Caenorhabditis elegans: one gene and its partners. The protein of the gene in region 3 interacts with the protein of the main gene of each other region in a pairwise test. Each region holds a gene or a part of one and is shown on either strand. Other genes may lie near its edges. The genes, in order: mec-3, ZK546.5 and Y56A3A.28.

What was found.
Region 1: the proteins of Y56A3A.28 (region 3) and mec-3 interact in a two-hybrid assay, tested with the Caenorhabditis elegans proteins (one large-scale study listed by BioGRID).
Region 2: the proteins of Y56A3A.28 (region 3) and ZK546.5 interact in a two-hybrid assay, tested with the Caenorhabditis elegans proteins (one large-scale study listed by BioGRID).

What each region holds. Positions count from the first base shown.
Region 1 is NC_003282.8:10,460,079-10,463,834, forward strand, and holds the start of mec-3 (Mechanosensory protein 3), read right to left. Parts: upstream 1,790-3,756; 5' UTR 1,689-1,789; coding exon 1,611-1,688; intron 1,216-1,610; coding exon 1,165-1,215; intron 1,024-1,164; coding exon 908-1,023; intron 858-907; coding exon 785-857; intron 484-784; coding exon 232-483; intron 160-231; coding exon 46-159; intron 3-45; coding exon 1-2. UniProt on the Caenorhabditis elegans protein: Transcription factor. Specifies differentiation of the set of six touch receptor neurons (TRNs).
Region 2 is NC_003280.10:4,933,745-4,937,500, forward strand, and holds the start of ZK546.5 (C2H2-type domain-containing protein), read left to right. Parts: upstream 1-2,073; coding exon 2,074-2,155; intron 2,156-2,206; coding exon 2,207-2,283; intron 2,284-2,342; coding exon 2,343-2,543; intron 2,544-2,597; coding exon 2,598-2,691; intron 2,692-2,745; coding exon 2,746-3,077; intron 3,078-3,126; coding exon 3,127-3,419; intron 3,420-3,470; coding exon 3,471-3,756. Other genes in the region: gst-30 (glutathione transferase), read right to left, coding at 193-701, 1,140-1,272.
Region 3 is NC_003281.10:11,969,565-11,973,320, reverse strand, and holds the start of Y56A3A.28 (C2H2-type domain-containing protein), read left to right. Parts: upstream 1-1,953; 5' UTR 1,954-1,962; coding exon 1,963-2,055; intron 2,056-2,811; coding exon 2,812-2,952; intron 2,953-3,756. Other genes in the region: ung-1 (Uracil-DNA glycosylase), read left to right, coding at 1-8, 1,582-1,698.

The DNA of each region.
Region 1 (3,756 bases), on a different chromosome or scaffold from region 3:
AACTGAAAATCATTATGAAAATTTCCGCTTTCTTACATTGTATACCTGATTTTGTTTGATTGTCGTTCTAGGTCCGCGTCTTTTTAGCATTCGTGAATCATCATCACAGAAATCGGAAAAGCTATAATGCTCAAAGTTGTATCCATAAGCGTCAACCTCCTAAAAATTAAATATGCAGTACATTATTCGGTATTTAATCCCTTTAAACTTTCAACGAAAAATAAAGTATACCTTTTTAACTTGGAAAGCTGATGAAAAAGATTCATCAATTGGATATGGGGCAATTGGATTTTCTGTCGAACAAGATGGTATATCAACTGCAGATCCTATTGCTCCAGGTGCGTTGTCATCCATTTGAGGAGGATAATGTGACATACAGGATACGGTCATCATTGTATCGTCAACAAGAATTTGTTCCCCCGGTGATAAATGCCGTCCACACAAAGAGCAACAATGACATTCCACATGGAACACGAGCCCAGCCTGTAAAGTTCTTTGAGTCAAACTTTACCGATCAAAGCCCCAAGCTCTATGCTTGTGCGTCTAGCAGGATCCCGTCAGAGCAAAGAGCAAAGCGTAAAAAATGATTACATCTTTCAAAACTATTAGTCAAAGCTTTGGTTTTTTTTTTAATTTGAAATTGTAGGCTTTTTGAAATCTTTCGGGCATTCCTACTGTTTATACAAAAGTAGTCAAAAATTTAATTGATAAAAAGTTGACAACTTTTTGTATAGGTTCGCTCAAAGTTTAATGTTTTCTTAAACATTCTGACCCAATTTAATACCTTCAGTTTATATACCATATCTGTCGGTGACACTCCTTTCTTGCAACCCGCACACCGATGAATACTGTGATCCCTGAAATAATGTATTTTTATTAATTCCAAGAATATTTTGCTAAAGCTTACTTATAATAATGTTGACTACAATAAATTCTCCCATTTTTCCAAAAACACTTTTCGGCCAGAGGAGACTCACATATTGTACATTTGACACAATTTTCGTGATACGATCGATTGTCCATCTGAAAATAAATGATGGCTGAAATCTTGAAATGTTGTTCGAACTATAGAAGCAAAAGAAAAATATTCAAGATTTTGAGCAGACTGTTTACAGAAGCAAAGCAAAGAAAGTTTGAAAAATCCACAAACATCAGCAAACTTACTCGATAAATATAACGATCATAAATTTGCTCATTGCAGCAATTACATTTGTTCTAGAAATATTTAAAAAAATTATAGAATGTTAGACACAAGTTTCACTAGAGATCGTATCGATAAAATGAGATTGGAAAATAGAATGAATACCAACCAAAAGTTTACACGATTGACTTTCAGAATCTAACTTTCAGAATTTTTAGAAGATGCGGTAATTTTACTTGACTCTCTGAAAGTCGAACAGAAATTTTCCCTCGTGCGGATTTTGTATAAATTTCAAATTGGAATTTCTTGACACGCAGAAGTCTTTGTAAAAACTTTCAAGCAAATGCAATGTAAGTTTTCGATTGATGTTAATTTCATTTTTCTGACTCTCAAATTGTTACTTTTAAATTTTTTTAAAGAAAAATTGTTTTCTGATGAAATTCACAACTGCTCAAGTTTAATTACTCACCTGATTTTCATGATCAACTCCAATTGAATCAATAACCATACTAATCGCACTGAGAGGCTTTGACTCTAACATTTCCATAGTTCAAATGAAATAAATCAGAAGAACAAATAACAGTGAAATTTAGAAGAAAATGCGCGAAATTGTGGCTACTCACTGTAACAAATCACCCGTCAAGAGCCAGATGTCATGTAGGCGTGGCATGCCAATCCAACAGGAGTCTCTAGACCCTGATCGATTATTAATGTGCGCTAAAACTGGTGTCTCCAAATGGTGACGATAATAGATGCATTTCTTATGAAGCTAGAAAGTGTGTGTAAGGATAAGCACTAAAAAGTTGTCTAGTTGGAACGGGCTCTCTCTATCGATCTCCTGACGGTCACTTGTGTTTTTCGGTCGATTCATTATGGGCAATGCATTTCGAATGAATTTGTTGTTTTTTCAAATGTTGTGTGAAGAATATATGGAAAGGACGTTGTAAAGTTTTATAAAAATTTGAATTTGAATAATCTTGTTCTATTACTCCATAGTTACAAAAAAAAGGAACGGAACGGCGGTGGAGAGTTTCTGACTATGCTAATTATTGGAAAATGTTATACTTGAGAATTCAGATTTTCTATACAACATTAAAAATTATGGTATGGACGTCTTCATTACTGCCAGCCTACTACTTAAAAAAAGCTTTTACAGTGAAGTTTCACCCAATCTATAGTTTGGGAGGTAAAATTCCGCGACATTTCAGTAGGTGGGTGCGTGTCTTGGCAGGAGGCATGCGTAGGTATCCTTAAAATCATATCGAATCATTTGCTCCAACTCGGCATTTGGAGGCAACTTCCTGCCAACAATTTGGCAACTTATTTTAGTGGCACTAAATAAGTTGCCAGGTTGTTGGCAGGAAGTTGCCTCTGAATGCCGAGAAGTACAAAAACTATCAGTATGTATTCATTGTTTGTTAAAAATTGAAATGCAGTCCAGAGAGTTTTCAAAATCATTTCCAAATTGTGAGCGTAACTACTCAGTTGTTGGTGTGTTTCGCTTATTTTCTCCTTTCAACTGGGTTTTTTTTTCAATTTATGTTCATTGATATTTCATGAGTTTTAATTTTCGTTTTGATTGACAGTACGGAACTGTCACAAGATAACAGTAAACCTGTCAATAATGTTAAATTTGATCTTTGTAGAAATGAAAGTACTAATTTAAATGTAAATATTTGCATTTGTGAAAAATAGAAGCCAGAAAATGAGAAAATGAAACCAAAAGTCATTTTCTAAGTAAAACGCGATATTAGAGGCTGCTGGGCAGAATTCCAAGAATTTAGAAAATTGCAGAAAACATTTGTTTTGATAAATGTCTTTAGGAATGAAATCTCAGAATACGCCAAGTTTTGCATATTTTATTATCCTTTTACAAAGTAATCAACCAGATTGTATTAATTGTTATTTCGCAACTAACAAAACCCCTCGTTTCAGTGCTCATTTTGAGTTTTAGTCAATTTCTACTCCCTTATTTGCAACTAACCATGCATATAACTGATAAAATAGGCAGATGATAAACTTGTCACTTTATTTGTTTTACAGAAATTAAAGACCCAAAATCACAATGAATGCTCTAACTTCTGCGCGTTTTTATCAAGAAACAGACTGTGTGTGATGACACACCAGCTCGGTGATAAATCAAAGAAAATGAGATCATTTTTCGTAGTTTTCCTTGAATCACAGAACTGGGCAGAAGCCTTATTCACGTGAATATGAGCATGATACGGTATTAGGTACACTTTCTGAAAAGATGAAAAATTCAATTTCTGATGAAACACATTTCTTCCTGATAAGGTAGTGAAATGGCCCCAAAAGATAAAATTTCAAAATGAAACTTTTTATAAATTCTATATTTTTTGGTGGTTAAAATTTTAACAGAGAAAGTCTGAATTTATATAAGATAACACCATTTCTATCTTCGCCAACTACTCCGGGTACCTGCAGGGCAAAATTAAAAAAAAACACATCGCTCCTCATTTTGATAGTTTATTCCGAGAGTTTTAAGATGTAATTTTTATCCATAAAAATCCGAAAATAGCACAATCGAAGATCATATAAACTGAAGATCTACCCAAATCTACAAACAACAAAATAAACGACAAAAATATGCAAAA
Region 2 (3,756 bases), on a different chromosome or scaffold from region 3:
TCCCAATAACTCTATTAAGTGTCTCTGTAATAATATTCTTTTTTTAGATTGTTGCCGTTTTAAGGAAATAAACTAAATTGCAATTAATTTTCTTGATTCAATTACTTCCCGCACTTCGATGTAGTGTTTTGATGTATTGAATCATGAAATTACTTTATTTTCAACAAAAAAGTTGGTAAAGTGTTCCTAGAATTAAAATGGTGTAACTGGACGAGTCTCAACCCATTTTTTGATATTTGGAATAGAATGAATCTTCTTTTGATGAGCCTTGAGTTCTGGGAATTCGTCTAGAAGTGATTGACTGGCAGCAAACACAGATCCACTGTCACTGAGAAGATCTGATGTATGTTGAGCAATCAACAGATCAACCCAGGTGACAGAGTCACCGATCAAGAATCCAGATCCACTGGCTTTAAGGAAATTGGTGAAGAATTGGTAGTTTTTCTTGAAATTTGGAAGGAATGTGTCCTTGTAAAGAGCATCGGCATCTCCTTGTGCAAATCCCATTTTCACGAGATTATAAGATCGGATGTCATTGAGATAATCTTTGAATTGATCTGCAATTGCATTCACTTGAGCTTCTTCCCATGGACATCTTCCATTTATTCCAAATTGGCGAGCAAGAAAACGAGAAATTGCATGGGATTGTCCAAGTGGTTTCCCATCCTGATAAAGGACAGGAAGAGTTCCGAACGGCATAGCTGGAAATATAGAAAATTCAATACAACATTTTTAGACATAAAAAAATTAAATTAGAAAAACCTGTACACAAATATCCCGCCAGCCTCGCAATTAAAAGTGATCGTATTTGTTATTCTATTACATGGAAGATACTTTAACATATATCTCGATTTTGGAACTATACATATTTCATTTCAAAGAGCACCTTCTAAATAGGTCCCTACAAAAAAGTTAGATTTATACGGGAACTTTGAACCAAAAAAGGTAGTTCTGAGATTGCTTTCAGGTCAGTTTTTGTGAACAAAAATCAATGATTTATAATAAGACCCAGAATATTGGTGTCAGGTCTAATCAAGATTTTATCAAGTGGATCTCGCCACGCCCACAGCGGTTAGAGCGGCACAACATTTTAATCACGAATAAATAGTATTTTGAAAAAAAAAGTTTCAAAAACTCACTCGACTTGAGAGCTGGCCAATCAGCCTGTGGAATCCGGTGATCCTCAAACTTTTGCCCGGCATATGCCAGAATCTGTCGTGGAATTTCTCCAGCAAATCGAATTGGAAAATATGAAAGTTTATAGTGGACCATAGTGTGTTTGGAGTCGAATGATGAAAGACCAATTCAAACATTCTCTTTTATACTGTCTCCTTCATTCAATTTGTTTGTCATTCTCATCGTGTTTTTTTTTCGAAGTAAGGCGGCATTAAAAATGTACGAGAAAGGTTGCCAAAATGATGACAATTGCTTGGAATTGGGAGAAAATCGAGGAAACTAGAGACGCGTCTTGCCACATTTATCATCCTTGCTAATATTAAGGTGTGATTCTGTTGGTCTTACGTGATTTGAGAATGCTCTTTTTTATAGTCAGCATATTTGAGACACTAGTGTAATAATGAAGAATTGAGAACAGTTCATATCTAACAAAATGACTATTACAATGTAAACTTTAATTAATAAAAAAAATTAATTTAAATTTCCGTTCTTCACTAATTACCTGGCAATTTACGAAAAAATACGGTACCCGGTCTCGAAACGACCAACTAGATTTAAAGGAGTACTGTAGATCTCGCAATTGTCTTGGATTTGTTGTTATTTTCATAATTTACATCAAAATTGGAATTCAGAGCTGAAGACATGAAGAGTACGTACAGTTTTGCTTACCGAACAAAAAATATACGATTATTTTTAATACTTTTTGGTCCAATTTACTCGTCTAGTGGCCCTTCCCACAAAGTCGACTCCAACGCTGCGTCTCCGTTCTCTCGCTTGCATCCAATGGAGCGCACTTACATTAAATTTTATTTATTGAATTTTTATCGGTTTTGCCATGTATTTTTTAGTTTTAATTCCTCTAACTTTCTACAATTTAGTAAACTTTTTTGTTTTTAGATGGCTGCAATTATAGGTGGAGGACCACGAAAACCGCCAAGAATCATACGAAAAAATGTAGCGCTTAAACATACGCGGAAAGGTATAAAAATATTGTTTTTAGTCGCAGAAGTCATAATTCAAATCATTATAGATGTTCGAGACGACGAAGGTGAAAAAGTTAAACGAGAAGGATATGAAGTACAATCAGGAGTATTGACTGTAAATGAGGTAGATTTGTTATTTAATTTAAGTATTAAATTATTGTAGGAAAAATTATTAATATTCAGAATCACCCATCCAACTTCAAACCGAAGAAATTGCCAGGAATCGCTAACGATGTCGAATCTTATCCATGCCGATTTTGTGAGGAGAAAATTTTTTTGACTGCATCAGGACTTGAAAAGCATGGAAGAGAGTGTCACCTGCAGAATTTAGACGATATCATGCTAGATATTAATACAATTTGTGGAGAATGGAAGAAAAGAGAGGTATTTTAAATTTAGAAAATTGTAACTTTTTTTAAAACAAAATAAAGATTTCAGTTCGAACGGCTCCGATCTCGCGATCGACTAACAATGGATAAAATGAGACACGAAGCAAGAGCACATCAACTTGTAAAAGCTGTTCTTGCTGGAAGTAAGTAAAATTAGAAAAAAATAAATAAATATATAATAAAATGTACATTTTAAGATCAGCCGACTGTAGGAGGAGAACAATATGAAGCTTGTACAATCTGTAATATGCTCGTCAACATAGCACATCCAACAGCCATGGAATCTCATCAAAGAGCACACAAAAAGAATGACGAGCTTCGATTACAGCTTATTGATCGATTAGGAGCTCACGAGGTTCAGAATCTGACGTGTGAATTATGCTCATTAGTATTTCCTGATGATGGGAAGCTAAGAGCCCACGTTACATCGCATCACACCCGACGAAAAAAATATATTTGCAAGTTCTGCGGTCATATCTCTCACAGTATGTCAGAGTTGAATCTCCATAAAAACGATGTTCATAATTATGTAAGTTAGATTTAAATTCAACATTTTCGATTAATTTTTTCATTTTCAGACAGCATGGGCAAATGTACCAGAATACCTGAAATCACGTCGAACATTTTACCAATATGATGAAGAACAAAAACGATTGCGGCGACGAACAAATTTTGAAATGGCTGATGAAATGTCAATTCGACTGCCAATTCTTGGAGAGATTTCTGATGGAGACACTGCCGGACGAGTTACATGTCCAGAATGCGGACTAAAGTTGAATCGACCTCGTCTTTTGTTCAAGCACATGGAACGAGTTCATATGAAATCTTCGTTTTCTTGTATGGTTGAGACAGGAGGTCTCCCTACCTTTGAGTAATTATTTGTTTTAAACAAGAAAAATATCTAGAAAAAATATTTTTGCAGATTAGAAGTATCAAATGGTGAGATCTTTTGGACGTGCTGTGATTCTAAATTCGACAATCGTCCGGAGTTCATCGAACATCGACGTCTTCATATTCCAACTCAACATGAAGAAGTCGTTGTTGAAAGCTCCGAAGATCCGAATGATATTCCATCTACATCCCAAGCAATGATTCCAGATGAGGATGCAAATGAAGCAGCAGAACAACACAACTTCCCACAAATGATTCATGATGAGCATGGAAATATTCAAGTTCTCTTACCAGAAGGATATGATCTCAGAGAAACT
Region 3 (3,756 bases):
TTATAAAGGTCATTATTTTTCTGGATAGAATTCTGGAAAAAGCATGGAAAAGTTGATTTTAAGATTTTTTCCCTAAAAATGTGTTGGAAAACGACAAAAATTGCCGATTTTCACCTGTAAAATCGGAAATTTTGCGATTTTGCTGGAAATTTAGGTAAAAATTGCCAGAAAACCTAGAAAAAAATTCAAGATTTTCCCATAAAATGGTAGTAAAATTGTCACTTTTCAGTTAAAAACTAAAAAAAATTCAGGGGTTTGCTCTAAATTTTCCCCTGATTCCGAATATCTATGTGAAAAATTGGAAAAAAACGTCCCTTTTATTGTAGAAAATCGACGATTTTCAAACGCGCGCCAGAGAGCCAGAGACGATTCTCATTGGAACGCACCGTGTTGTGTCGATTTACGAGATTTGTTTTTTTAAAGCCAATTTTTTGCTGTTTCTTCATTTTTTTTTTCGGTTTTTTGAACATTTTATTATTATAAAACTCGCAAAATTTCCTTATTTTTAGATGGAAAATGATTTAAATTCAGAGAAAAAAAACCGAATTTTTTCGATTTTTTCAAAGAAAATCGGAATTTTTCTTCTTTTTTTTTTTAAATAGAAAACCGGAATTTTTCTATTTCTTTCCAGAGAAAATCGGAATTTTTTCGTTTTTTTTAATTTTTTTCAAAGAAAATCGGAATTTTTTCGATTTTTTTTTTGATTTTTTAGAGAAAATCGGAATATTTTCGATTTTTTCAAAGAAAATCGGAATTTTTTCCATTTTTTCATATAGTTTTCCAGAGAAAATCGGAATTTTTTCCATTTTTTAAAAGAGAAAATCGGAATTTTTTTGAAATTTTTAAGGAGAAAATTAGAATTTTTTCGATTTTTTAAAAGAGAAAATTAAAATTTTTTTTTTCTATTTTTTCAGAGAAAAATCGAAAAACAGAAATTGTTTTTTAATCGAAAAAAAAATTCGAGAAAATTTCTATTTAAAAACTCCAATTTTCTCTTTAAAAACTCAAAAAATTCCGATTTTCTCTGAATTTACCTCCTTTTTCATCTAAAAATAGGAAATTTTCGCGGTTTTCTGATCATAAAATGTTCAATTGGCTCGAAAATACACAATTTTCAACGAAAAAAACCGATAAAAATGAATAAAAAGCTGAAAGCTGGCTCGTAAATCGGCACAAGACACAGCGCGCTTCAATGTCTGGCGCGCGTTTGAAAATCGTCGATTTTCTACAATAAAAGGGACTTTTTTTTCCAATTTTTCACATAGATATTTTAAACAAGGAGCAAATTTGGAGCAAAACCTGGAGAATCTTGTTTTTTTTTTTGGTTTTTAACTGAAAATTGACAATTTTACTACAATTTTGTGGGAAATTCTTGAATTTTTTAAAGTTTTTCTGGCAATTTTTGACATTTTCCACCAAAATTTAAATTAATTTCAAAGGGAAAAATTGATTGGTTTCAGACGTGGAAAATCGCAAAATTTTTGATTTTTGTGAAAAAAAAAACCTATTTTTTAGCGTATTTTAAAAATATTTCCACTAAACTCAAATTTAATTTTTTAAAAAATTTTAAAAAATTTCCAGACCGCCCATCCGTCTCCGCTGAGTGCTCGCAAGTGGTGGGGATGCAAATGCTTCTCGAAATGCAACACGGAGCTCGAAAATTCCGGTCGAAACCCGATTAATTGGGCGGATTTATGAATAAATTCTCCTGTCGAACACCCTGCGTCTCTTCATCTCACACACTCTCTCGCCACTCACTGAAGAACTCTGTTATTTATCGATTTTTCTATTTTCTCTTCATTTTTCCTCATTTTTTCCTCATTTTTTCGGTTTTTCATCATAAAAATTCGATTTTCTGGCCATTTTTTTGTTCAATTTCCAATTTTTCATTCGTTTCAACGATTTTTAAATGCTTTTCACGGAAATTGCAGCGAAAAATTGTTTTTTTAACAGAAAAAAAGAATGCGGCGACAAAAAACCGAAGAGGAACGGAGCTGGACTTCAATTTCTCGGCATTTTTTATGCCTTGAATGTAGAAAATATTTCCGGAATAAGGTAGAGAAGATAATATTCTAATTAAATCGCAGAAAATATATTAAAAATTGAAAAAAAAAAACCGATTTTTCCCAAAAAATATATTAAAAAACCGAAAAAATTCCAATTTCTTCTTTAAAAAAATTTAAAAACATTGAAAAATGCTAATTTTTCTTATAAAAAACGAGAAAATTCCGATTTTTCTCTAAAAATATATTAAAAATTGAAATTATTCCGATTTTTCAGTAAAAATATCAAAAAATCAGATTTTTCTCTAAAAATACATTAAAAAATCAGATTTTTCTCTAAAAATACATTAAAAAATCCGTTTTTTTTTTAAATTTATATTAAAAATCGAAAAATTCCGATTTTTCTCTTTAAAAAATCGAAAAAATTGCAATTTTCTCAAAAAAAAATCGAAAAAAAAATTCCAATTTTTCTTTAAAAATATAAATATATATATAAAAAAGCGGAAAAATTCTGATTTTCTCAAAAAAAAAATTACAAATTAAAAAAATCCGACTTTTCTCTAAAAAAATTATTAAAAATCGAAAAAGATTCCTATTTTAATTTAATACAAAAATTAAAAATCGAAAAAAAAATTCGATTTTTCTTTTAAAAAATTTAAAAAATTGAAACATTTCCGATTTTTCTCTAAAAATATATTAAAAGAATCGAAAAAATTCCGATTTTTCTCACAAAATAATTTAAAAAATCAGAAATTTTTTTTTTTTAAACGAATATTTCAATTTTAATTCAAAAAATTTCATTTTTCAGCGCGAGTTCTATTGGCACACCGAAGATTGTCTTATGGAAGCTTTTGAACGAGAAGTTGCTCTAAGCGTATCCCGTGGAGCCGACGAAGATATCGCTGAAAATGAGGAAGAATGGGATGATCAACCATCAGAAGAAGCTCTTGTTAGTACGAAAAATCTAGAAAAACCAGGAAAAAATCACGAAAAAACGCGATTTTTCACAAAAAAAATGCCTAGAAACATAATAAATTTGAGCCTATTTCAGATTTTTTGGAGCAAAATCAGGCCTAAACTCGAAAAAAATTTGCTCTGAAAAAAAATATCGAGAAAATTCCAATTTTCTGTTTAAAAAATCGAAAAAAATCCGGTTTTTTTTTTCGTTAAAAAATATATAAAAATCGACAAAATTTTCGATTTTTTTTTTTTTTAATCGAAAAATTCTGATTTTCTCACAAAAAATTGACAAATTTTCGATTTTCTGTAAAAATTTTAAAAAACGAAAAAATGCCGCTTTTGTCTTAAAAAAATCAAAAACTAGAAAAAACTTTCGATTTTCTCTGAAAAAATTTAAAAAATCGAGAAAAATCCGATTTTCTATTTAAAAAAATCGAAAAAATGTCGATTTTTTTTATCGAAAAATTCTGATTTTCACACAAAAAAAAAAAATTTTTCCATATATTTCCGATTTTTTCTTTAAAAAACCACAAAAAAAATCCAATTTTTCGTTAAAAAATATATAAAAATCAACAAAATGTTCGATTTTATCTGAAAAAATTAAAAAATCTAAAAATTCTGTTTTTCTATTAAAAAAATCGAAAAAATGTCGATTTTCTTTTGTTTTTTAATCGAAAAATTCCAATTTTCGATTTTCCGTAAATTTTTTTCAAAAAATAGAAAAAAATGTCGATTTTGTCTTTAAAAAATTCAAAAAAAACTGGAATAATCTCAAAAACCACAAAAATGAGAA